Linked DNA regions of Astyanax mexicanus. The protein of the gene in region 1 purifies or fractionates together with the protein of each later gene. This does not show direct contact. Links are inferred from orthologs where the notes say so. Each region holds a gene or a part of one and is shown on either strand. Other genes may lie near its edges.

The links. Proteins that work in one complex are often made in the same cells at the same time.
Region 2: the proteins of cop1 (region 1) and ets2 purify together in Homo sapiens (affinity purification with western blotting; 3 studies listed by BioGRID and IntAct, with this or other methods). This does not show direct contact. The link is inferred for Astyanax mexicanus from reciprocal best matches to the Homo sapiens genes COP1 and ETS2.
Region 3: the proteins of cop1 (region 1) and etv1 purify together in Homo sapiens (affinity purification with mass spectrometry; 4 studies listed by BioGRID and IntAct, counting the BioPlex papers as one, with this or other methods). This does not show direct contact. The link is inferred for Astyanax mexicanus from reciprocal best matches to the Homo sapiens genes COP1 and ETV1.

What each region holds. Positions count from the first base shown.
Region 1 is NC_064415.1:58,593,192-58,600,660, forward strand, and holds the start of cop1 (E3 ubiquitin-protein ligase COP1), read right to left. Parts: upstream 3,036-7,469; 5' UTR 2,695-3,035; coding exon 2,390-2,694; intron 726-2,389; coding exon 666-725; intron 572-665; coding exon 474-571; intron 318-473; coding exon 253-317; intron 1-252. UniProt on the Homo sapiens protein: E3 ubiquitin-protein ligase that mediates ubiquitination and subsequent proteasomal degradation of target proteins.
Region 2 is NC_064427.1:35,514,688-35,522,668, forward strand, and holds the start of ets2 (protein C-ets-2), read left to right. Parts: upstream 1-4,887; 5' UTR 4,888-5,139; intron 5,140-5,819; 5' UTR 5,820-5,829; coding exon 5,830-5,889; intron 5,890-7,664; coding exon 7,665-7,785; intron 7,786-7,981. UniProt on the Homo sapiens protein: Transcription factor activating transcription. Binds specifically the DNA GGAA/T core motif (Ets-binding site or EBS) in gene promoters and stimulates transcription.
Region 3 is NC_064425.1:25,611,835-25,618,972, reverse strand, and holds the start of etv1 (ETS translocation variant 1), read right to left. Parts: upstream 3,095-7,138; 5' UTR 2,990-3,094; intron 1-2,989. UniProt on the Homo sapiens protein: Transcriptional activator that binds to DNA sequences containing the consensus pentanucleotide 5'-CGGA[AT]-3'. Required for olfactory dopaminergic neuron differentiation; may directly activate expression of tyrosine hydroxylase (TH).

The sequences.
Region 1 (7,469 bases):
GATTTAACAGAAGACTGCAACACTGCTCTCTAGTGGTCAGAGTTTAAACAACAGCAAATGAACCCCTGTCAGACATCAGATGTCTTTTATTGTAAACTAATAGATAAAAGTCATTGAGGTATTGTAAAAGTAATTATCACAATAATCTAATATATCAAATTTCTTACACCCCTAGTAGAGACATTTTCCAGCTGAGAAATATGAAAGAATTTTTAAAGACAATACGTTTTTCTGAGCATGCTGTATACTTACAGGGTGGTCCCGTTTTAGCCGTTTCTCCTCACATCTCTGTTTCTGCTTGAGGATTAGCTCGTTCACTGCGACAAAGAAAATACAGTATAAAATATCTCTGACTCAGAGGTGCGGACCTTAACACTGTTTAATAATATAAAAAGAAAAAAAAAAGTGTGTACGCGCTTCAGAAAACCCTGCACAGATAAAGATAATCCGCATTTACTCTTTAAATCACTCACCTAAGAAGTTGGGGTAGAGTTGATCAACATTGTCTATAATGTAATTACATTTTGGGCACCTGTTGCTGTCCTCCAAACTCTGTCGTATACATTTATAACTAGAAAACAAAAATTAAAACAAGAATCAGCATCACAGGAAGCATTACGGCAGAAAAACGGATACACATGAGATAAAATTAAATGTTTTCTCACCAGAAACTGTGGCCACACTTAGTCATGTGAGCTTCCTCTATCATTTCGAAACATATGGGACTGAAAAACAAAAAATGAAAATCATTTTTAAAAAGGATTATTAAATACTCTGCATGTTTTTGTGCTTTTTAATTCACTTTTACTCCAATGTTCAATTCAATCCATCATACATTTTACTGTTTAGCTACTGGCATAATGTACATGATGTCCATTTCACAGACATGTGATTCGCTTTCTTGTAAGTCTGTTGCACAAACATATTTTTGACTTCTAATTTATCACAGTATTATTATTAATATAGTATTATTATTAAGTGTATTTGGACGTTGGAACTATAAGGTAGAAATATTAAAAATATCCTACATAATCAAAACAAATAAACCAAAACAACTGTTTTCGCTGTGGGAAATCGCAGAATCAGGACCTGAGGTTCTCTCTCTCTCTTTCCATTGGCAGTATATAGCCGCTGCTCCTGACTCCCAGTTGCTGACTGAGTCAGATATCTAGCATGCCAAACATTTGCCGGGTGAGATATAGTATGACTGACTTCTGAAGAAAGCTGGTAAAAGCCTTGTATTTTCTAATATCTCTAAATAAATGGCAGAAAACATAAAAATAACATATTTCAATGTAAGATTTTTCCACCAGTATTGTGCAGCTCCATGCTGTATGACCTAGTGAACTGATATCATTATTATTTTATTATATATTAGTCTAGCAACTAATAAGTTCAGTAATGACTGTCAGTCTGTGGCAGATGCTGTAAAATGTTGTAAAATACATATTTATATCAAAAATGATTTTGAAACCGTATCATCCTTACTGAAACATATTCATCACCACAATATATTAGGATATCGATTAATTACCCAGCTCTACCTGCTACTGTAAATAATGCAGCTGCAGGAACACCAATCTGGTAGCTTCGTTAGCTAAACTAACACATATAAACACATAAAACAACTTAAAACACCTACATGACAAACATACAAAACGACTGTAATTTGTTTTATCGACAAAAACCTTAGAAGAGTCGAGAAAACTCTTATTCTGAGAGCTAAAAGAGCTAACGAAGTAACTGTTAGCGTTTACTAGTTTTACAAGCTAACTAGCTAGCATTAACTTAGTTAGCTAGATTAGCTAACTATATTATTGCATGTTTTAGACAAACAGCAATAATTAACGTTATAAACACCGACACAAAACTAAACACAGCTACAAATAAAGATAAAGAAAGCATAGCGCAGAATTAGTTTAAGTTTGTTTTTGGAGAGAAAAGGGAACAGAGAAAAACGGTTACTAGCCTAACTTACGTTAGCGATAGCATTAGCTAGCTAATATCACAGGAACTGGCAATGCTAACCTAGCTAATCTAGCTAGCGTCAACTTAGTTAGCTAGGTTAGCTAACTTTAGTAATGCGTGTTTTAGACGTTATTAAAAATATATAAATGTAAATAAATGAGTTTAATAAATGCAGATAAATGTTAACGCAGAATTAGGTTAGCTAACTATTTTTGTGTCAAAGAAAGAAAAAAGGGAACAGAGAAAAGCGGTTAACGTTACTGGCATAACGTTAGCAATAGCATTAGCTAAACTAATATAGCTATGATATGCTACGATATTCTATGCTAAGCTAAGCTAACTGTAGGTAGTGGAGCGCTAATAGCGGCCCTTCAGCTTGGTTCTCCCCGTCGGTAAGCTGCAGTTTGTCGGCTCTACTCACCAAACGAAGTCGTTGCTCTTATCCTCATACGGATTAATAAGGCCGTTATACAGCGGCCGCTTCCTGCTGTAGCTCCCGCCGGAGGAGCCAGCTCTGCCGCTCTGGGTCCCCGTAAGCTGCTGCTCAGCTCCGGAGCCCAGTGTCCTGGAGGATCCTCCTCCGCCGCCGCTGCCGCCTCCCGTGTTGCTCCCGTTGGCCGTAACGCTGCTGCTGCTCCCGCTATTTGCGGTGTTCCCGCTCCCGGAGCTCGTACCGGGCACAGAGCCCACGCCGCCGCCCTGGTGCTGCTGCCGTCCGCTCGACATGGTTCCCTGGTGCCGCCTGTATGAACTCCCTCCCCGCAGGCCCGAAGCTTCACTGCATGCTAACCGGCCCAGCAAGCCCGGCGCTGCCGCCGCCGTTACCCCGCACACAGAGCCGCAGCAGCGGGGAAACAGTCGCGCTGTACCCCGCAGACACTCTCTCCGCTCACCGCTCTGCCTGGAGCAGCGCTGGGTTTAATATCAGCCACCAAAACACAGAATATCCTCACCGCGGAGCCTCCTGTTGACAATTCTCAAACGGGGGTTTGAACAGATTTCAGCCCGCTGCAGAAGAACAGCCGCCGCCAGGCAACACTCACACCGCGGCGGGCAGGAGAGCTCCACCGCCACCCTCTGTACCGGAGCGGGCCTGAGTCTGGGGTATTAATTATAGTTCATTATAGCAGGTCTGAGCTTTTTAACACCTCAAAACATGATTTCAGAATTATTTTGACTATTTTATGTATTTATATTGAAATATAACATTGAGATTGTCATATTAAAATAGTTTTAAAAAGACACAAAAGTAAAAAAAAAAAATCAAATATATATTTTTAATTATATACTCATAGCTCTGGAAAAAATACTCACTCACTTGTCACAAAATGAGGAGTTTCTTTGATTTTACCAAATTGAAAACCTCTATAATATAATCAAGAGGAAGATGGATGATCACAAACCATTAAACCAAGCTGAGCGGATTAAATTCTTAAACCACGAGTAAAGCAGCATACAGTTATCCAAAAGCAGTGTGTAAGACTGGTGGAGGAGAACATGATGCCAAGATGCATGAAATTAAACTGTGATTAAAAACTAGGGTTATTTCCCATTTTCTGCAAATAAATGCTCTAAATGAGAATATTTTTATTTGGAATTTGGGAGAAATGTTGTCTGTAGTTTATAGAATAAAACAAAAATGTACATTACTCAAATATAAACCTATAAATAGCAAAATCAGAGAAACGGATTTTGAAACTTAAGTGGTCTCTTATTTATTTTCCAGAGCTGTATATATACATACGTATATAAGCAAATCAGAACAAAAAGTAAAAATATATATATATTTATATTATATATTTATATGCTGTCCTGTATTGTAACAGCAGAGGGCAGAGTGACCTACGGAAAAGCTGAACTTGTTGCTGGTTTACTGCAGTGCGCGCTGGTGGCCAGCAGAGGGGGGTAAAACTGCTTTAATAAAATACTAAAAGTCTACAAATTAAAAGTAAAAGTACTTAATTAATTAAATGAATTAATTGAATAAAGTACTTACAGATATGCAATGCACGTTTTAATGCATCTCGTATCCATAAGAACAGAAGCCGAAGTTTGTTAGGACATATTATTGGCTGTTTTGGTGTGTTTTTGGTTTTAATGTCAAATATTAAAAAAAAAAAATAAACAGAAACTAATTTAAATAATGTGATAGGAAGTCTCTACTAATCTCTACTCCTCAATATCAATAACTATTTAGGTCTAATTAACCCTTAAAGGCACAGTGGTCACAAATGTATTCCTAAAATGTATTTTTTTTTTACCTTTTGTACCTTTTGGGTTGTTAAATGGTACAAATCTGTACTTCCTGCTGTAAGGAATGAAGTACTTATATTGTACCTTTGTGTTTTTTTTAGTGTGCAATTTGTCCAGATCAGCAAATCTGACAGTGTGAAATAAATAAATCCTCTAAAAGGGTTTATTTTAAATTGTATTAATTATTAATTAAAATGTATTAATATTTTTGGTCACTTTTTAAAGGAATCCACCCCTGTTTGTGTATATTGTGTAAAATATTGTGTATTTTCAGCTCGCTTGCTGCAGAATGAGGCGTTTATACCGTAGTTCAGCCCAGTGAAGCTGGAAAAAGTGTTCGTCCCCTTTGGGGAAAATTACTGAGCATCTTACAGAATACATTAGCCTGTCAGGAGACCACCACGGGAGAAGTCCTGGCCCGTATTTTACCCTGCAGCTGTCCTGTCTGCTTCTGAAGAGCCGTTCCTTCCCCTCACGCCCTCCGTCCGTAAACACTCCGGCGTGTGAACAAGTTCATCACCAGTCCAACTCCAACCAACTCCAACCATCACAGAGAGGATCCAGTCATTACTGAACAGAGATGAGTCAAAATAAACAGAAAAAACAAGAAAAAACTAGAGAAGAAGTGATGGAACTATTGTATATCAGCTTCTCTGCAAAAAAACTGATTAATATAGTACTTTAAAATAGCCTTTTTTACTAGATAGTGATGGTATGAATCACAGTGGAACCCTTTTTTGAGTTACAAATCAATCAATCAATCAATTATCCAATCAACCAACTAATTAATCAATCAATTAACCTTTATTGTCACTCGGTAATACATTGAGGGAATAATTTTCGATGCAGCCAAGCATTTACCTTCTAAAGAGACTGGGAAAAAAAATCAATTCAAATTAAAGTCAAGTATTTAATATATAATTATCAGGTTACGCTAAAATAAGGAACAAATAAACAATAAAAAAAACAACAAAAATTAAATGGCAAAAGCATTTAGCTGTGTTTTTGTTTGTCATTTATTTTATCATCATTTATGCTTTATATATTTAAATTATTTTATTGTAAAGCATTTTGTGGCTCTGTTATATAGTTCTGAAAAGTGCTGTATAAATAATTATTATACCACAGTTAGTAGTTCCGACCCTGCAATGTGATTGGCTGAGAGGCGTTCTATGAGTGCCGTTATCAGCCAGTAATGCACTGCTGTAACCGAAGCTCTCCATGTACGTATTACTCCGCCACATACAGGTAACCTACGATGCAACGATGCAGCGCTTACAAACCAAACAGCTCAGCTACAAACAAACAGAGCAGCAATGGAGCTATTTTAACTGGCAGAGTTTTTATTTTATAGCCAAACAGATCGTGCAGATTTTCTCCTCCTCTTTAACTCTTTAAAATATTTAAATAAACAGAGATAATAATGGAACTGTGTTATATTGCTGATCTACGATCGCACCAAAACAGTGCCAATATTACACGTTATAGCACGAACCTTGAGAGTATTTTTGCTTAAATATGACTTGCTTAATTTGCAAAATCTTAGTCTGTGAGTAAAAACTCTGTGTCTAGTATTTAGATGTGAGAGGTTGTCAGACTTTTAATCTGTTTAAAGTCCTTTTAAAGTCTTTTTCAGAGTCTTTTTAAAGTGGTGTAGAGTACGGACAGCGTAAGGCAGGTCTTTAGGGCTGGCGCACTTTCCGAAAAGATCAGCCCTCTCGGGAGGAACTGGAGTAGAGAGCCGTGGATGAGTTGTGTGGAGCAGAAGCCAGCCAGTTCAGTGTCTCAATTATAGATGAGAGCTGCACGTTTTGCCATTTCAAACATTTATATATCTTGTAGGGCTTCTGTTAGGACTCTGCTCAGAGATATAGACCTCTTTTAAAACGGAGCCAAGGTACTCAAAGAGCCTGATGGGTAAAGACAGCGAGAGGTGAGAGAGTGATGAATGGGGGTTTCCAGCTCCAGTAATAATATCAGTGATTCAGTAGCAAACAGGAGAGTTTAAGTGTAAGAAAAGCAGATTAAATCATGTTATTCAGTTCGATCTGAAACATTAAATTACATCATAAAGCTCAGCTCTGTGTGTTTCTATCTATCTGTCTGTTTTCTGCTCTGGATTGAGAGATTGAGTTTTGTATTGGTTTTATAATAAAGCTGCATGTACCAACAACCACCAGTAGAGGGCCTGGAGTCTGCAGTGGAAGAGCTGGTGGATCTGGGCCAAAATAACAAAAACAAAAAAACTACAAGTCCCAGAATCCCCAGCGATATTCAGCGCAAACTAGGATCAGCTGTGAAACACAGTATAAAAAACCCAGTCATAGCTCAGTTCTCTGTCGCACCTTTGTAGAGGGGTGATCAATAACAGTGGGTAACAGAGAAAAAAGAGAAAAGATAAAAAAAAGGATCTCGAAAGAAAGACAAAAACAAGAAAAAAGAAAGAAGCGAGATCTTAAAAGAAAGCAAACGAAAAAAATAGTCAGTAGAACATTTTCTAAATGTTACTATTAATGTTCTTAGTAAGTTCAAGTTCATCTGTTAAGTTTTCTTGATATCCTTATAATGTTATGCAACATTTCTTTTAACATTTTCCCAACGTCGCTACAATATCACTTTTCAATTTATACTGTATAGTGTATGTTTTAAAAATGTTAACTTTAACAACACAAATGACGTTGCAGCAATGCTACCAGAATGTTTAAGAATGGTACATAAAACATTCTAAGAACGTCCAGAAATGTTCTAAGACTGTTACTCTATGAACTGTAACTTTGTGTAAAAGTTGAACATTCTAGGAATGTTAATTTGTAACATTTAGAAAATGTTCAATAAAACATTCTAAGAACATCGAGTAAAATTAAAAGATTGAATGTTCTAAGTCTCTGTTAACGTTGAATGTAACGTTTTGAAAACGTTTGACATAAAGATGGTTTGCACAATGTTATTAGAACGTCTCTCACATAGACGAATACAACCAAACTAAAAATGTAAACATTTATTAAGAATGTTTAAAAACATTGAATAAAATGTTCTGAGAACATTCAGAAAACACATTGACAGATTATTCTAAGAATGTTAATTGTAATGTTTCTACTAAAACCTTCTACTAACAAAACTACTAACTTTTTGAGGAAGCTGGGATTCAGCTTTGAGTTCTGTACGGATGGATGCTTTGATTTCTAAGTAGAGATGATTAGAGATGTATAAAAATGAACAGATTTATACTGTATATATATATATATATA
Region 2 (7,981 bases), on another chromosome or scaffold:
CAAAAACGGTTCTGGACAAAGCCTTTATTTTATTGATTTGCATTAGCGCTAACCAAGGGTGTGTTTCCTGTACAACCTAACATGGTGTAGTGCATCATTAAACTACCTAACCTCTCAAGAAAACTGTTGTACCTTGTTTGTACCGCTTTAGTCTGAACTACAGTGTTTCCACACATGTTTGGTCTAAATTTTACAACAGAAAACTCCTAAAGTTTGTAATATTACGCCAAAATATGAGAGTTGACTGAAATCATGTTATTAATTTGCTATGTAGGCCTTTTATTTTGTAATCATATGCCGCTTATTATAAAAACAAAGATATATTATTTATTTAATATACAGCTCTGGAAAAAAATAAGAGATAACTTAATATGATGAGTTTCTTTGATTTTATAGAATATAATCAAAAGAAAGATGGATAATCACAAACCATCAAACCAAGCTGACCTGTTTGAATTTTTGCAACAGAAGTGGCATAAAGTTATCCAAAAGCAGTGTGTAAGACTGGTGGAAGAGAACAGTGGTTGGGAAACACTTGTGTAACTTAATGATGGTTTGTTTTATGCTCATCAGTAAAACATGTTCTGCTAAAGTGTTTTATGGAGATGGTGCTGTGGAATCTGCTAAGCTTACTTCCAGCTTAATAAAACAGAACATTTTGTTTGTGCTTTGTAAGATGATTTCTACACGTGTACATTTTGTTTGTATTTAAACACACACACAAATATTCCAGGTTGTTGCTAGCTGGTTGCTATGGTGTAACTAAGCAATTGCTTAATATTTTCTGAGGTATCCCGAATGTTGCTATGGTTTTCCATGTGGTACTTGGGATATTGCAAGGTGGTTCCTACAGTTTTCTAAGTGGTTATTATTATGGTGTTGCTAGTATTTATTATGGTATCCCAGGTCTTTGCTAATGCTAGGATGTTGTTAAATGGTTGCAAGAATATCCCAAGTTGTTGCAATGCTGTTGCTCAGTTGTTGCTAAGTGGTGCAACATAACATTCATCATAGAGGAAATATGGAATGGAAGGGGGCAGGTTTGGAAGGGGAATATTTTACAGGCAGATTCCATCTTTCTTCTTGCATCTCCTTTAAATGTAGCTGCTTTATAAGGGTGTTTTACCTGTCAGATCTCCACTAATGTCCTCGTGTCTGTATTTTCATGCAAAAGAACCAGGTCACTCAGCTTTAAGAGTTATATAAATGTTGACTTTATATAACAGCACTGCCTTTGTACCATGAAAATTCAAGGTTCTACTTCTTATGAAATTGATCAAATACAGAATAGCACCTCATTCCACAGAGTTCACAACCGCTACACCCCCCATTTTTTTTATTTTTGAAGGACTTTTTCTTTTCAAACACTGGTTTTCCCTCTGCTGCGAGTTTTATCACCTCCAGTATCTCTATAACTGCATGCTCTCAGCTCTTAATGTCCAGGTTAGTGTGAAAACCAGAGAGTCTCACCACATTTAAAACTTTGCTTGTGTTTTGTACTTTTTTAAAGGAGTTGTACATATTTTTTGTACATATTTGGGTGTTTGCAACAGCCATTTCAGTTTGATATATCTAATAACTGATGGACACAGTAATATTTCAGGATTGAAATGAGGTTTATTGGACTAACAGAAAATGTGCAATATGCATTAAACCAAAATTTGACCGGTGCAAAAGTATGGGCACCCTTATCATTTTATTGATTTGAATACTCCTAAGTACTTTTTACTGACTTACTGAAGCACAAAATTGGTTTGGTTACCTCATTGAGCTTGGAACTTCATAGCCAGGTGTATCCAATCATGAGAAATTGCAGAAATGGCTTCTTTCGCATCACTCTCTCATACAGCTTCTCCTTGTGCAAAGTGCGCTGTATTGTTGACCGATGCACAGTGACACCATCTGCAGCAAGATGATGCTGCAGCTCTTTGGAGTTGGTCTGTGGATTGTCCTTGACTGTTCTCACCATTCTTCTTCTCTGCCTTTCTGATATTTTTCTTGGCCTGCCACTTCTGGGCTTAACAAGAACTGTCCCTGTGCTCTTCCATTTCCTTACTATGTTCCTCACAGTGGAAACTGACAGGTTAAATCTCTGAGACAACTTTTTGTATCCTTCCCCTGAACAACTATGTTGAACAATCTTTGTTTTTAGATCATTTGAGAGTTGTTTTGATGAGCCCATGATGCCACTCTTCAGAGGAGATTCAAATAGGAGAACAACTTGCAATTGGCCACCTTAAATACCTTTTCTCATGATTGGATACACCTGGCTATGACGTTCAAAGCTCAGTGAGGTTACCAAACCAATCTTGTGCTTCAGTTAGTCAGTAAAAAAGTAGTTAAGAGTATTCAAATCAATAAAATTATTAGGATGCCCATACTTTTGCACCGGTCAAATTTTGGTTTAATGCATATTGCACATTTTCTGTTAGTACAATAAACCTCATTTCAATCCTGAAATATTACTGTGTCCATCAGTTATTAGATATATCAAACTGAAATGGCTGTTGCAAACACCCAAACATTTAGAACTAAAAATGATTAAGATTAATAGGGGTGCCCAAACTTTTTCATATGACTGTAAGACACTAGAAGATTTGCTTTTAAATGAAGATACTATAGAGTTTTAGGTTCATGTTTTGCCTCATGAATATACTGAAGTCTTAAAAAATGTGACATTCTGCAAGGGATCTTTATGTATACTCATATTAAGTGTAGATGAGGTCAAGTTTGTGTCTGAGGAAATTTCTATTTAATTATATAAAAGAATGCATTTGCTTTACTATATTCTTGTACAATGCTTCTCATAAATTCACAATTATAATGTAGCTCACCTTTCTTTGGGTGTTTTGTTCTAAACTTTGGCATTGATTTAATGTTGTTTTGGGCCAATAATGTACTTGAACTGTTACCTGGGCAAATGTCGCTTGAATTATTTTCATATCACAGTCTTACAGCACACCATATTGTGAATCATGCAATGTTTTTTCTTGTGGTATTGTGGTATCTGGTGGTGTACCAAGTAACCTTGAAGGATACATGTGCATGTTCTATTTCCGCTGGATAACTGCAGAGTAGACATTAGTCTAACTGCAGTTATTACAGTATGATTACCTGTGACTCAGACCAAACTCGTCCCAGTTTGAATGTCAGGACAAAAAAAAAAACACTGCAACAACCAGCTAGTGCATGACTACAGTAAATGACATGGAAATTTAGCCTGCACAAAAGAAAACCTTGTTTAAGAGTCACTGCTATTTCTGTTTTTGAAAAGCAAGAACACACGACTTACGAGAAAAAACCCACCTTCAGCACTAATGTACACTAATGTTCAGCTTCCTCCTGAGCACCTCTAATACCAGGCTGAGCAGGGTCTCCTGCTGTTTAGTGACCAGGGCGTGTGTGTGAGTGCTTCCATGGGACAGGGAGCAGGGTAACAAGTGATGGTGGCCAGCAGTGAGGACAAGGCAGCAGCACAAAAGCAGGGGAGGCTGATCTCATTCACGCTGCATAATAAACAAATGTGAGTGTGAACCAACTCAGACGTGATAAACATTAGGGAGGGCAGGTGTGAGGGCCCCTGCTGTTGCTCATAAAGGCCTGGAAATCCTGCTGTTCACACACACACATACACACACACACACGCACACATGCAGAGGTGAAAATGTTTAGGTTAAAAAGTTCCATCCTCGCTAAAAGTAAGGAATGCAGAGCTTTAAACTCTTGAACACTTCAGAAGCACTGGTGGTTTCCTGAATGCATTGCATTTATTTACTGATTAGTTATCCTTGTAATAAGGTTACAGGGCATACTGAGCTAAATTATCAGTTAATCATCAATTTGATTTAAAAAAAGTAAAACTTTAGGTCAGATGAGGTAAGATTTGGAGGCATGAAAATGAGATATTTATCCACAAGAATTATATGCTAGCTGTTAAGCATGGTGGTGGCAGCATCATGCCCTGTTGCTGAGTGGAACAATAAAAAGGACGACTAAGGCTAAGACTAAGGTTTCATAAAATAATGTTACTGATCCCTCTGCTCCAAAAACTATACCTTCAATCTCAACTATAGTTTATAACTGATCACAAACAGCACCAACTGTTAAGCAGGGTGTTGGTAGCATCATGCTTTGCTTTCTTTTTATATTTTTTTACACTGTACATTTAATATTGAAGACATTATAGTTATACAGGAATACATGGATGTTTTTGTAAAAAAAAAAAATAAAGTTAAACAAACCAGAATATGTTTTATACTTTATATTCTTCTTAGTAGCCACGTTTATCTTTGAGGACAGATTTGCAGACTCTTGGTATTTTAATCTCAGTGTCTTCATGAGGCAGAGTCACCTGGAATAGTTTTCTCAGCATCTTAAAGGAAGGAGTTCCTGGAGGTGCTGAAAAACAGTTCGCTCCAGCACATCCCAAATCACCTAAAACGAACCATACATCTGTGACACATACAGCTATGGATAAAAATAAGAGACCACTTAAAAATGATGAGTTTCTTTGATTTTACCAAATTGAAAACCTCTGGAATATAATCAAGAGGAAGATGGATGATCACAAACCATCAAACCAAACTGAACTGCTTGAATTTTTGCACCAGGAGTAAAGCAGCATAAAGTTATCCAAAAGTAGTGTGTAAGACTGGTGGAGGAGAACATGCCAAGATAAATGAAAACTGTGATTAAAAAAACAGGGTTATTTCACCAAATATTGATTTCTGAACTCTTAAAAATGTATGAATATAAACTTCTCTCTCACTCTCTCTCTCTCTCTCTCTCTCTCTCTCTCTCTCTCTCTAATAAACTGAGCTACATGCTGAGTGTGCTGTGCTGAGCTAAGCTCCTCCCCCTCAGACTCGCCTCGCGCTAAAAGAGCAGGGCTCCTCGCGCAGCTTCAGTCAGCGGTCGACTTTACATAAAACCAGAGAAGCGTAGAGAAAACAGAGAGAACCGCGGAGCTGCGAGTTTACACTGGAAACACCCCACAGAGATTCCCCCCACGCTGCTGGAGAACGCACACACACTACACCGGCTACAGGGAACTACAGGAATACATTAACGCTGCAGTCCGCCAGTTTTAAAGCCTGCTCTCGGATATTTCACCGCCCGCTGCGTGGAAACATTCAACAGGTCAGTATGAGCGACCAGCCTCAGAAAGGGTTACGATAAAAACACTAACATTAAATAGCGTTTACTTCTGTTTTATTGAGGCAGGCGTGTATAAAGCGATGTAAATATCACTAAACATCGTGTTATGTGTTTTATTTTTATTTAATCGTAGTCATAAAACAAGTTACAGCTCAGCAATTAGCTAGGTTACTGTTATTCTGAAGTTCTCTTCAATTTGCCGTTCCACCTTAAAAATCCTGATGCTAGCGGTTATAATCTGGTGTCTGTAATTACATGGGGGAATAGAGCTGCTGCGCCATTTAAGGTGGACTGAAAAAATATATAAAATAAATAAGTCTGCACCTCTGATTATAAAGGATATAGCTAGCTAATGAGCTTAGACACAGTTTGTTCCTTCTGTTTGTGTAACATCTTTGCTAATTGAGGCGTTAATGTGGCTAACCCATTTTGTGGTGGTCCTTAATCCAATTTGAGAGGGATCACCCGCCCCTGGTGACGACCACCATGAGTCATTTCAGAGACTCATTAGTAAGATATGAACCAGTGATGAAGCAGTGAGACAGTTTTCAGCCTGGGACTTAAAAGTTAAACTGTTGTCCACAGAGATTAGAATACTCACAAAACTCTGGGTCACTGAATTCAAATTGTAACCAGCTGTTTCTTGGTGTATGTAACTTCAGGTTCCTTTAAATGTGTGACCTCAGCATGGACCAGGTGACCCCCCTGTCTTCAGGCTACAGATGCTTGAAGGTAAGTGTGTTGGAAAGCCTTGTTACTTAGAGGTGGCTGATATGTTTTATATAAAAAAAAGTATTATATCACAATATTTAAGGATGTTTTCACAATACACAGACAAATGCATGACATGCGTGATGACAGCAGATTCCTTAAAACATCTATTCAAATACTTAAATATTTTTATATTCAAAGATGTGCTGCTCATCATCAAGTTATAACTTGATAAGCACTAAGAACACTCTCTGTAATGAAATGTTCTCAGTAGATGAGTTGCTGTCAGTGTTCTTTAAGCTTGGACAAAATCTGTTATATTCTCATGAAACCATATTGTGTATAATGGTATAATAAAACATTACCTCATCTGGTACCCATGTGGAATATATCTGTATTAAGTGGCAGCATGATTTAGTAGGTCAAAGCTATTGTTAAATGTTGTTTCAGAATGGTAGAATGCTTATAGTCTCTTGTCCTACTGCAACAGCACTATGCTAGTGCTTTTTTTCCCAGACAGTTTAAGTGTGTTCAAGGACAGTCCAAACTTAGGCTTGTATGGCTGGAGTATGTCTGTGCTGTGTATGGGTCATATTTTTTAAGATTATTGTGAACATATCTTCATTATATCTGTTATTTGTGATGCTGCTTAGTGGGCAACAACTCTGCTTTACCTGAGGAAAAGTATTAAGAGTTCAATTCACTGGGTGCATTTAGCACACCACAGTAGACCAATAAAAGTCCTTGGGCAAGATTTATAACATTACCTGTGCAACATGGTTCGGATGTAAACTGTGTTAATAGAAACATTATGTAAAATTAATTCTGTAAATGTATATATGTGTATCTGATCTAAACAAAGGTGCGTTTAAGTGTTGCCTTAAATTTAAACAGCCGAAACAACATGCTAGGTGTCAGAGATTTGCTTATTTAGCTTGTACAATAACTGCACTGTTATATTAGCTATCAATAATGAAAGTCTATTATGTCAACTGAAAACTTTTGTTTTTGTTGTGAGACAGGAAAGTGTTTTTATTATTTGTATTAGTCTGTTAACTTCAATGCATTTAAAAGGAGCTTATCAAATTGTACATTCTAAATGATACTGTCACTGTTCACAGCAGCTTTAATCAGTTAGTTAAAGTGCTGTGTTGAAGAACAAGCCTGTCAGAGATGCTGTTTTGCTGTAGATGTGCACCTTTTCACAGAGATAATAAAGACGTACAGCGGTAGCTTCACCGCAGCCGGTGTGGGAAAAAAATCTGTGTCAGCACTAATCTAATCTAAAGAGAACAGTGGTTGTTTTAATCTGATCTGAAGAGAGTAGGGTTGCTGCTGCCTTATTGGAAGAGAGATCGTTTGGACTCTGAGCTGCCAGCGCCCACACAGCCCCTCTGCTGCGGAACAGGAAGGCCAAATATGGTCGTATGCTGGCTGGCGCTGGCTGAAGGCAGTTCACTCTGGCAGCTAGAGTTTGAGCAATCAAGGCAGTTGAGAGAGAAAGAGGGAGTGCCTTCTGGGTTTTTCCTGCTGCATGTTATCTATGTACTACATTACCAACGTGCCTTTTAACTTCCAGACTGAAGTTTTAATGATTCATTGTCTAGGTTTTATGAACAGAACGAGAGTGCCTGTCAATCATCTGTTAATGACCTGTGTGTGTGTTCTTCACACATAATTATACCCAATATCCCAATTAGTGATATTACATAATGGCCTTTTAGTGTAATAAAAGTAATAAAGCAATAATTGTAATGCATTCCCTGCTAATGAAGTGATTTGTTTTGTTTTCACAGAGGCAGGTTGCCTTTGAGTTGTTTGACGACCCCATGTCTTTATTCTCTGGGTTTTACTCATCTGTGGAGGAGGAGCAGGCAGCTCAGGAGGTTCCATCAGGCCTGGAATGTGTTCCACAAGGTGAGATAACATCAAAGTACAGGAGAAATAGATAGATAGATGTTTATGTGAGGGGTAAATAAAAATGTCATGGCTAGTTCAGTTCAGACAGACAGTGTAAAGCCATTCCATGTTACAAACACAACCTCATTAGGTCTTCTATTCAAAGATAATGATTTTTTTTAAGAGAAAAATACCAAAACATTAAGAAATAAAA
Region 3 (7,138 bases), on another chromosome or scaffold:
CTGAACTGCTTACATTTTTGAACCAGGAGTGGCATAAAGTTATCTAAAAGCAGTGTGTAAGACTGGTGGAGGAGAACATGCCAAGATGCATGAAAACTGTGATTAAAAACCAGGGTTATTCTACCAAATATTGATTTCTGAATTCTTAAAACTTTATTAATATAAACTTATTCTCTTTGCATTATTTGAGGTTGGAAAGCTCTGCATCTTTCTTTTTTTCAGCCAGTTCTTATTTTCTGCAAATAAACGCTCTGAATGACAATATTTTCATTTGAAATTTCTGAGAAATGTTGTCTGTATTTTATAGAATAAAACAACAATGTTAATTTTACTCAAAAATACCTGTAAATAGCAAAATCAGATAAACTGATTCAGAAAATGAACTGTATATAGTAAAAAGGTAAATTGTCTGAGAGCCATTACTATAAACCGCAATCAATAAGTATTTGTGTTTAAATTAGAGCCTGGTATGTGTTGATGTAAGTTCATAATAAAAAAATAATTTTATACTAAAACTACTACAGGTGAATTAATTCTCACGGTTTGCTGAGGTGTTAAATGCCGTGGAAACTACATTTCTAAAGCTGGGACTCCATCTACAGGCCACAGAGCGTACACTGATTGAAAAATTTAGAAGATCACTACTGCCCCAGTGTGGTGAGATGAGTCATGGATGTACACTTTACAGTACATCCTGTACATTCACACTCCTGCACACTATTTACTAAATACAATACTTGCACAAGTTATTCAGTATTGTTGTATCTGCTGATACCTGCTCTCCCTTTTACCTTATTTATTCTGTATTACTGCACTTCTTCCTATTCTCAGTTAGGTTACTATCATACTTTGTATAGTTATTTATAGTATAGTTGTATAGTTAATTTTTTAAGGCTCAGTTAGCATCTATATATTTTTTAGACCACCCCAGGAAAAGAAGAGCAAGAATTATCTCTGTTACAAACCTCAGAAACCGCAAGATAACCGCAAAGATAAGACACCACCTAAATATATTTTGGTTTGACTATATAAATTATTATGTGTTCCTTCAAAGTCTGGATGAGTTTAATATTCATTAAAGAAATGTCATTATTTAAAAATAAAACTTGAATGCGAAGATGCATCAAAACGTTCAACAGGTACTGTCATAAGCCCTATCTATACAGGATTAGTTTCTCAGGATTAGATAATCCCTGTATCTATACAGGATTAGTTTTCTAATATTTTACACTTCTAAGTGTGATAAAACTCTTGCATCCGGACTGCAATTGAAAAAAAAAAGGAGGACCAGTGAGTTTTTTGGCTTTCTCAGTCACATGACATCACGTTCAATAGCTCCTCCATTTTTAGTCACTGCTGTGTTTATGTGGATCTCTGTGGAAACGCGCGCCCAAAGAGGACATCTGATTAAAAAAAACATACATGGTTGTTCTGGACAGGAATAAAATCACAGAGTACCCCTACCCCCCCCCCCCCCCCCCCCCCATAAAAGAGAAAAATACCCCAGGAACCCCTGAGAACCCTGAGCACTGCAAAAGCCATTTTTTAAGATACTGACACTACAGACTGTTGGGTCTGACTGTGTGACTTGGATTTAAATACAGCTTTTTGATTGGACATGCAGTTTCCATGTTGCACTGGATTTGTGTGCATTTTTTCCCATAGGAATGAAAAGGGTGCAAACTTTGGTGCCTTTTTGGCATCCTTATGGTAAAACGATAATACAAATACACTTGTAACAACCAAACATTCACATGGGGTACCACAGCAACCACTTGACAGCCAGAAACCATGTCAACTATTAAGCATCCACTCATTAACACCCTAGCAACCACTAGGCGACACCATAATCAACCACCTGAAAAACCATTGCAATCCACTTGCGATAGTACAGCACCCATCTTAAAAGCCTCCAACTCCCAGCAACTTCTATGATACATATATTTTTTAATATTAATGACATAAATTCACTCATGTTGTACACCAGCTTAAAGTGGACATGAAACACAAGTATTCAGTATAATTTACAAGATGTATTTTAACTTTAACAAATCGTATAAGTTTAACAGTTGTCAGTGAAACTGATTTAAAATAATAAGCAATCTAAATGTAATTTTTTTAAGTAACGTTAAGTGTAGCGCCATCTTGTCCCAGCGCTGAAAGTGACGTCACGAGGTTGATTCTCAGACGCCTACAAACTATTAGCCTACAGTAACTTAATTCCTCAATGAATAATAAAAGCCAGACCAAACAAAAATCGATGCAATTGGGCAACTTTTGTATTGCCCCTGGGTGTAGTAAAATTGTATAGGGTGAAGAATGGGAAAAAGATTCACTTTCATATCTCGCCTCTTAAGCGGATAGCTGTTCTTCGGCTGTGGCTAGCGGCGCTGAAGCGTGAGTTAGTAGCGAGCACTTTCGAGACGAGGACTATGTGGAGAAGAGGGTTTTTAAGTCAGGGTCATTAGTCGTTGGCCGGACAAATAAGCTGAAGTCCAAGACTTTTTTCTTCCTTTTTTAATTTTTCCTCTTACCAGCTGGGATGTACAGACCGTCCGACTGTGGGGGTAAGTTACTATGAAAGCAGCAGCTGTGAGCCTCAAGAAAGGAGCCAAACGACGCGCCCACCCAGCAGAGCAGCGAGAGGTACCGAACGTCTAGATAAGCTGACAGTTAAAAGATAACATAGCTAGCGTTAGCTATGTATCTAGCTATCTTACCACAGCTGGCATTAGCTATTTAGCTAGCTATCTTACTAAAGCTAGCGTTAGCTACTTAGCTAGCCATGTTAAGGTTGCTTGCCAACGCTAGCTAACTAGCTAACGCTAACTAGATAAAGCTAGCTACCCAGCAACTTCCAAACTGAACGGTTTATCAACTTAATATCCACTTAAATCATGTACGTTTTATTCAGTCTTAATGAACTCTGGTCTTTGCATGCTAAATAGCTAAATGTATATAAACACGCTAGTTAACGGTATGGCAGTACCTGCTGTTGACGGGCTCCAGGGTTTCTGCACGGAACTCACGTAGAGAGAGTATAGACACCTCCAAAACTTCTCGCTCTTAGAAAAGCATCTGAAAAGTTCTGCTCAGGGTTCTGCAGGGACGATATCAGAGCAAATGGTTCACGTTAGCCTCCTGACAGCAAATCCACTCGGTTGCAATCGGCACGGCAGTGCAGTGAGCGCATCTGCACCAGGTAAAGTTAGTGTTATGCCAAGCTCAGACTACACAACATTTTTGTCCCTCACAATGTTCACTATGTCAGATTAAGCAGTTATTTTCGTTTTGCGTCGTTCTCGGGGGACTGGCAACACTACAGGTTAGTCACCGACCAATCATCGTCCGCGTCCTCGCGTGAGTTCGTAGGTCATCGCGGGGGAAGAGGATAGAATCTGAGAATCACGGCTACAGAAGCGCTTTGCATGATGAAAGCGCTTTTGTGCTGAAGAAACTTAAAACAGGGGGAAAAGCGACTGTGGGCTCATTCCTGGGTGACCCAAATGGACATTATATGCTTTTTGTACTCCAGAGAGAAGTTAAGGTATGGTAAAGATGTAGCTACTTAGGTTTCAGTGAATGTAAACAGAATATTTCATGAATGAAGTAGATTATTAGATGATTATTATTAGATTATTCTTCTGTTTCTTTGGTCCAGAGAACCGCAGGAGCACCGTCCTGCTTTCTTTTCCTGTGTTTACATCCGTGCGCCACAGAGCGCTCCGTCTTCCTATTGGTCATAGTCAGGGAGCACGTCGCTGAGCATGTCAAACTAGGCCATAAAATACAACGAATTCTAACATGCTAGTCTTTCCGTCGGACGCTCCGACGGCGTCGCTCACGTCACATTACTGATCTTTAACTGTGTCACACTACACGGACCTTTGTCGCTCGCGACAATAAAATTCGGTTCCGACGCACGCAATGTGTCGGCGCCGACAAAATCGGGTCAAATCGGGCTAAAATCGTGTAGTCTGATCCGGGCATTCACGACCCTCTCCACCTGCACGGGAACCGCTGGCTGTCTCCTCTGTATAAATCGTTTGTACCGTAATCTGTCTCGTCTCCTCGCCGACTCAAACGCATGAGCCATTGGGTTTCTGGGAACCTGATTAAAACCCCGTTCAGCTTCGACTTCATCCACAATCTCGACAAACAGCAAGCTTATTTCCTTAACCGTGACCGCTAGCTACCTGGGCTCTTCAACCAACCAACATCGTGACGTCACTGCACTGGCAAAACGTTTAGGGTAGTAACAAACATAAATATATTATAATTTAGTGTGTAAACATTTTATATAAATGGATTTAAAATTAAACAAAGGGTGCACAAATTCTGCAAAATTAGCTTTTACTAAAGGACATGGACCAGATATATTCCATGAGTGAATCCATTCCTCAATACAGTATGCAAATGTAAACAATTCACTTGTTTCTGATTTGTTCTTTTCCTTCATAATACAAAGGAACAAATTATAAAAAAAGAAATCTGTCTGTTTTGATTGGGAGACGAGTCTTTTTAACCTGCAGAAACAGCTCCAGAAAGAGTGTAATCACAGTTTACTTGATTAGCTCCGTTACCTTTCTTTTAGATAAATCGCTGTATATCGAGATCTGTTTTAACGTCAGCTGCTCCGACTAGCTGCCTGAACTCACAGCGAGGGGGCGGGGCTTCCCCACACTGACCCTCCTCTGCACTGCGCAAAACTAGCAAGCTAATTGGCTGTTTCTCCTGAAAGGCGGGACTTTCTCCTTGAACTGGCACCATGATTGGCGTCAAGAGATTGAATAATCTCTCATTCATACGTTTTTTTGTGTTTTTTTTTATAATAAGGAAAATTTACGGGAAAATACTAATACGGGAGGACAGCGGGAAAAAGGGGTAAAATACGGTAGTTTCCCGGCCAAAACGGGAGACTTGACAGGTATGATCATATTTAATCCCTTAGAAAACTTCTACAAACTGAAATGTTTCATGTCCACTTTAAAATCACGCAACCTGAACTACACCGGTTAGATGATTATTTTATGCCAGACAGGATGGCAGAAATCAGAATAAACACATACACACTGCACCACCAGGGACCCAGCAGAGGGCAGCACAGGCCCAGGAGCCTACAGCTGGTCAAGCTTTAGACCCGGACATTTTTAGGGAAAATCGTATTCAAAACACAGCATCTCTCCTTCTAACAGAGATAAAAGAGAGCAGCATCATTCACCCCAACTGCTTCTAATGATGAGGCCATATAAAACAGCCTGTAGCATCAGGACTGATCTCGCTCGTCCCTGATAAAGACTGTTTACCCCCTATCTTCTGAGAAAATGCTACATAAAAGTCCTCCAAACCTGTAAATAAAAGTGTATTTATGCAGGCAGTGAGTCTGCTAAACCAAACGAACGAGTCACACTTTTAATGCACCCAGCTGATCTTAATTTCACTGATTATGAGACTACTCATACAAAATGTCTGGACTTTATTTTTTAGGCAGTGAATATTTATGTTATTACTTAATTACTTATTACCTGACATTAATTTGTTGAAGTCTGTTTTCACTTTTATATTCTTGGCAAAAATGCAAATAATATAGACTATGACTCCATTTATAAAAGCATTAAAAAATGGGGTGAATACTTTTTATAGGCACTGTACAGGATTGTATAAGGCTTTCCTGATTGAGGTTGTCCTTCTTCAGCATAGGAAAAACATCTATCAATGGGGTAAGCAAAAATAAAAAAACGATTATTTTGAGTTCAAATGTAAAAAAAATCTACATAAAACTAATTAAAATAAATTCATTATAAAATAAGAAAAATAATCTTATATTTACAATGCTTAGTAAGACAAAAAATAAGAAAAATAAGATTTATTGCAGTGTGAGGGAGAAAAGCAATGGTGAAATAATATAGAAACTGTACCTTTCCTAGAGTGTGTTTGACTGACACGTGTCCATTAAAAAACACTTTCTCATTGAAACACTTTCATTCCAGGTTTTTGATTGTATCTGCAACCAAAAGGAAAATCCCAATTTAAAGCTGATGTCTAAATTTTGTAATTTGGGGGATTTAGGGCCCTCTCTGGTGAGAATGGGTAATTGCACCGAACATGCGGAAGAATCATTTTAAACTGGGAGGATGTGAGGCGGTCTACTTTCAGAGCGGATGAATCCGATTCCAGGTTATGTTCAGTCAGAGAGAGAGAGAGAGCACGCAGGAAAATGTCTTTCTGCGAAAAGCGACCGACCGACACCCCAATTTTTAGAATAAATATATTAGGCTTAGCAGGGATGGTTGTTCCAGCACACTGCTACCAATTAACACAATATTTTATCCCTTCTCCACTCAGAAATGCTTTTGCTTTCAGTTTAGAAAACTGACTGCCACTTTAAGATATTACAGATCAACAGCTATTTGTTATGCAAATATATTAAAACAAAATAGTCTGACCAAAATAAAAAATAATAAAAAGCATAAGAAGAGGAACTACATAACTTGTATAAGGCTTTGTTGGAGTACCATGCAGGTTGGTTTATATGTTCAAAAATATCATCAAATAATCAGATAACATGTCCACTGGTCTACTCAAAAGTGTTAGCTAAGACAGATCCAGCTGTGCAGAAAAATCTCCAGGAAACATTGAGATTTGGTGTCTAAGAATGGTGTCTCAAAGGGTTCATATACTTGAAATTAGAGACCTGAGAAATGTATGTCAGGTCTAGATTAATACAGCAGTAAAACCACTTCAAATATCTCCAATTGGAGCTGTAGAGTAAGACGCAGCAGTGACTCGCTACTGTCACACTGTGCTAGCCAGCTAACATGATAAGTGTCATGGACACAGCAGGCTCAAGCTGATCAATTATTCACATTATCTCTGCTCCTGCATATGTAATGAGAGGTTCTCTAATTATTTATGACCCGTGCAGACTAGTTAAAGGAGAAGAGTAACAGATTCTCACTGATTTTCTACTTTTGTGTACCACAGAACAAGATATAATGAGAGGAGCTACAGTAGGCTATAGTGTATTATACAGCAAAATGTATATTCCACAAACAGTCGCTCTCTCAGAAGTCCTCTCTTTATACTTCCACTTTAGTAAAAGCAAAAAAAGGTATTTACCCTTAAAGTTACTTAAGTA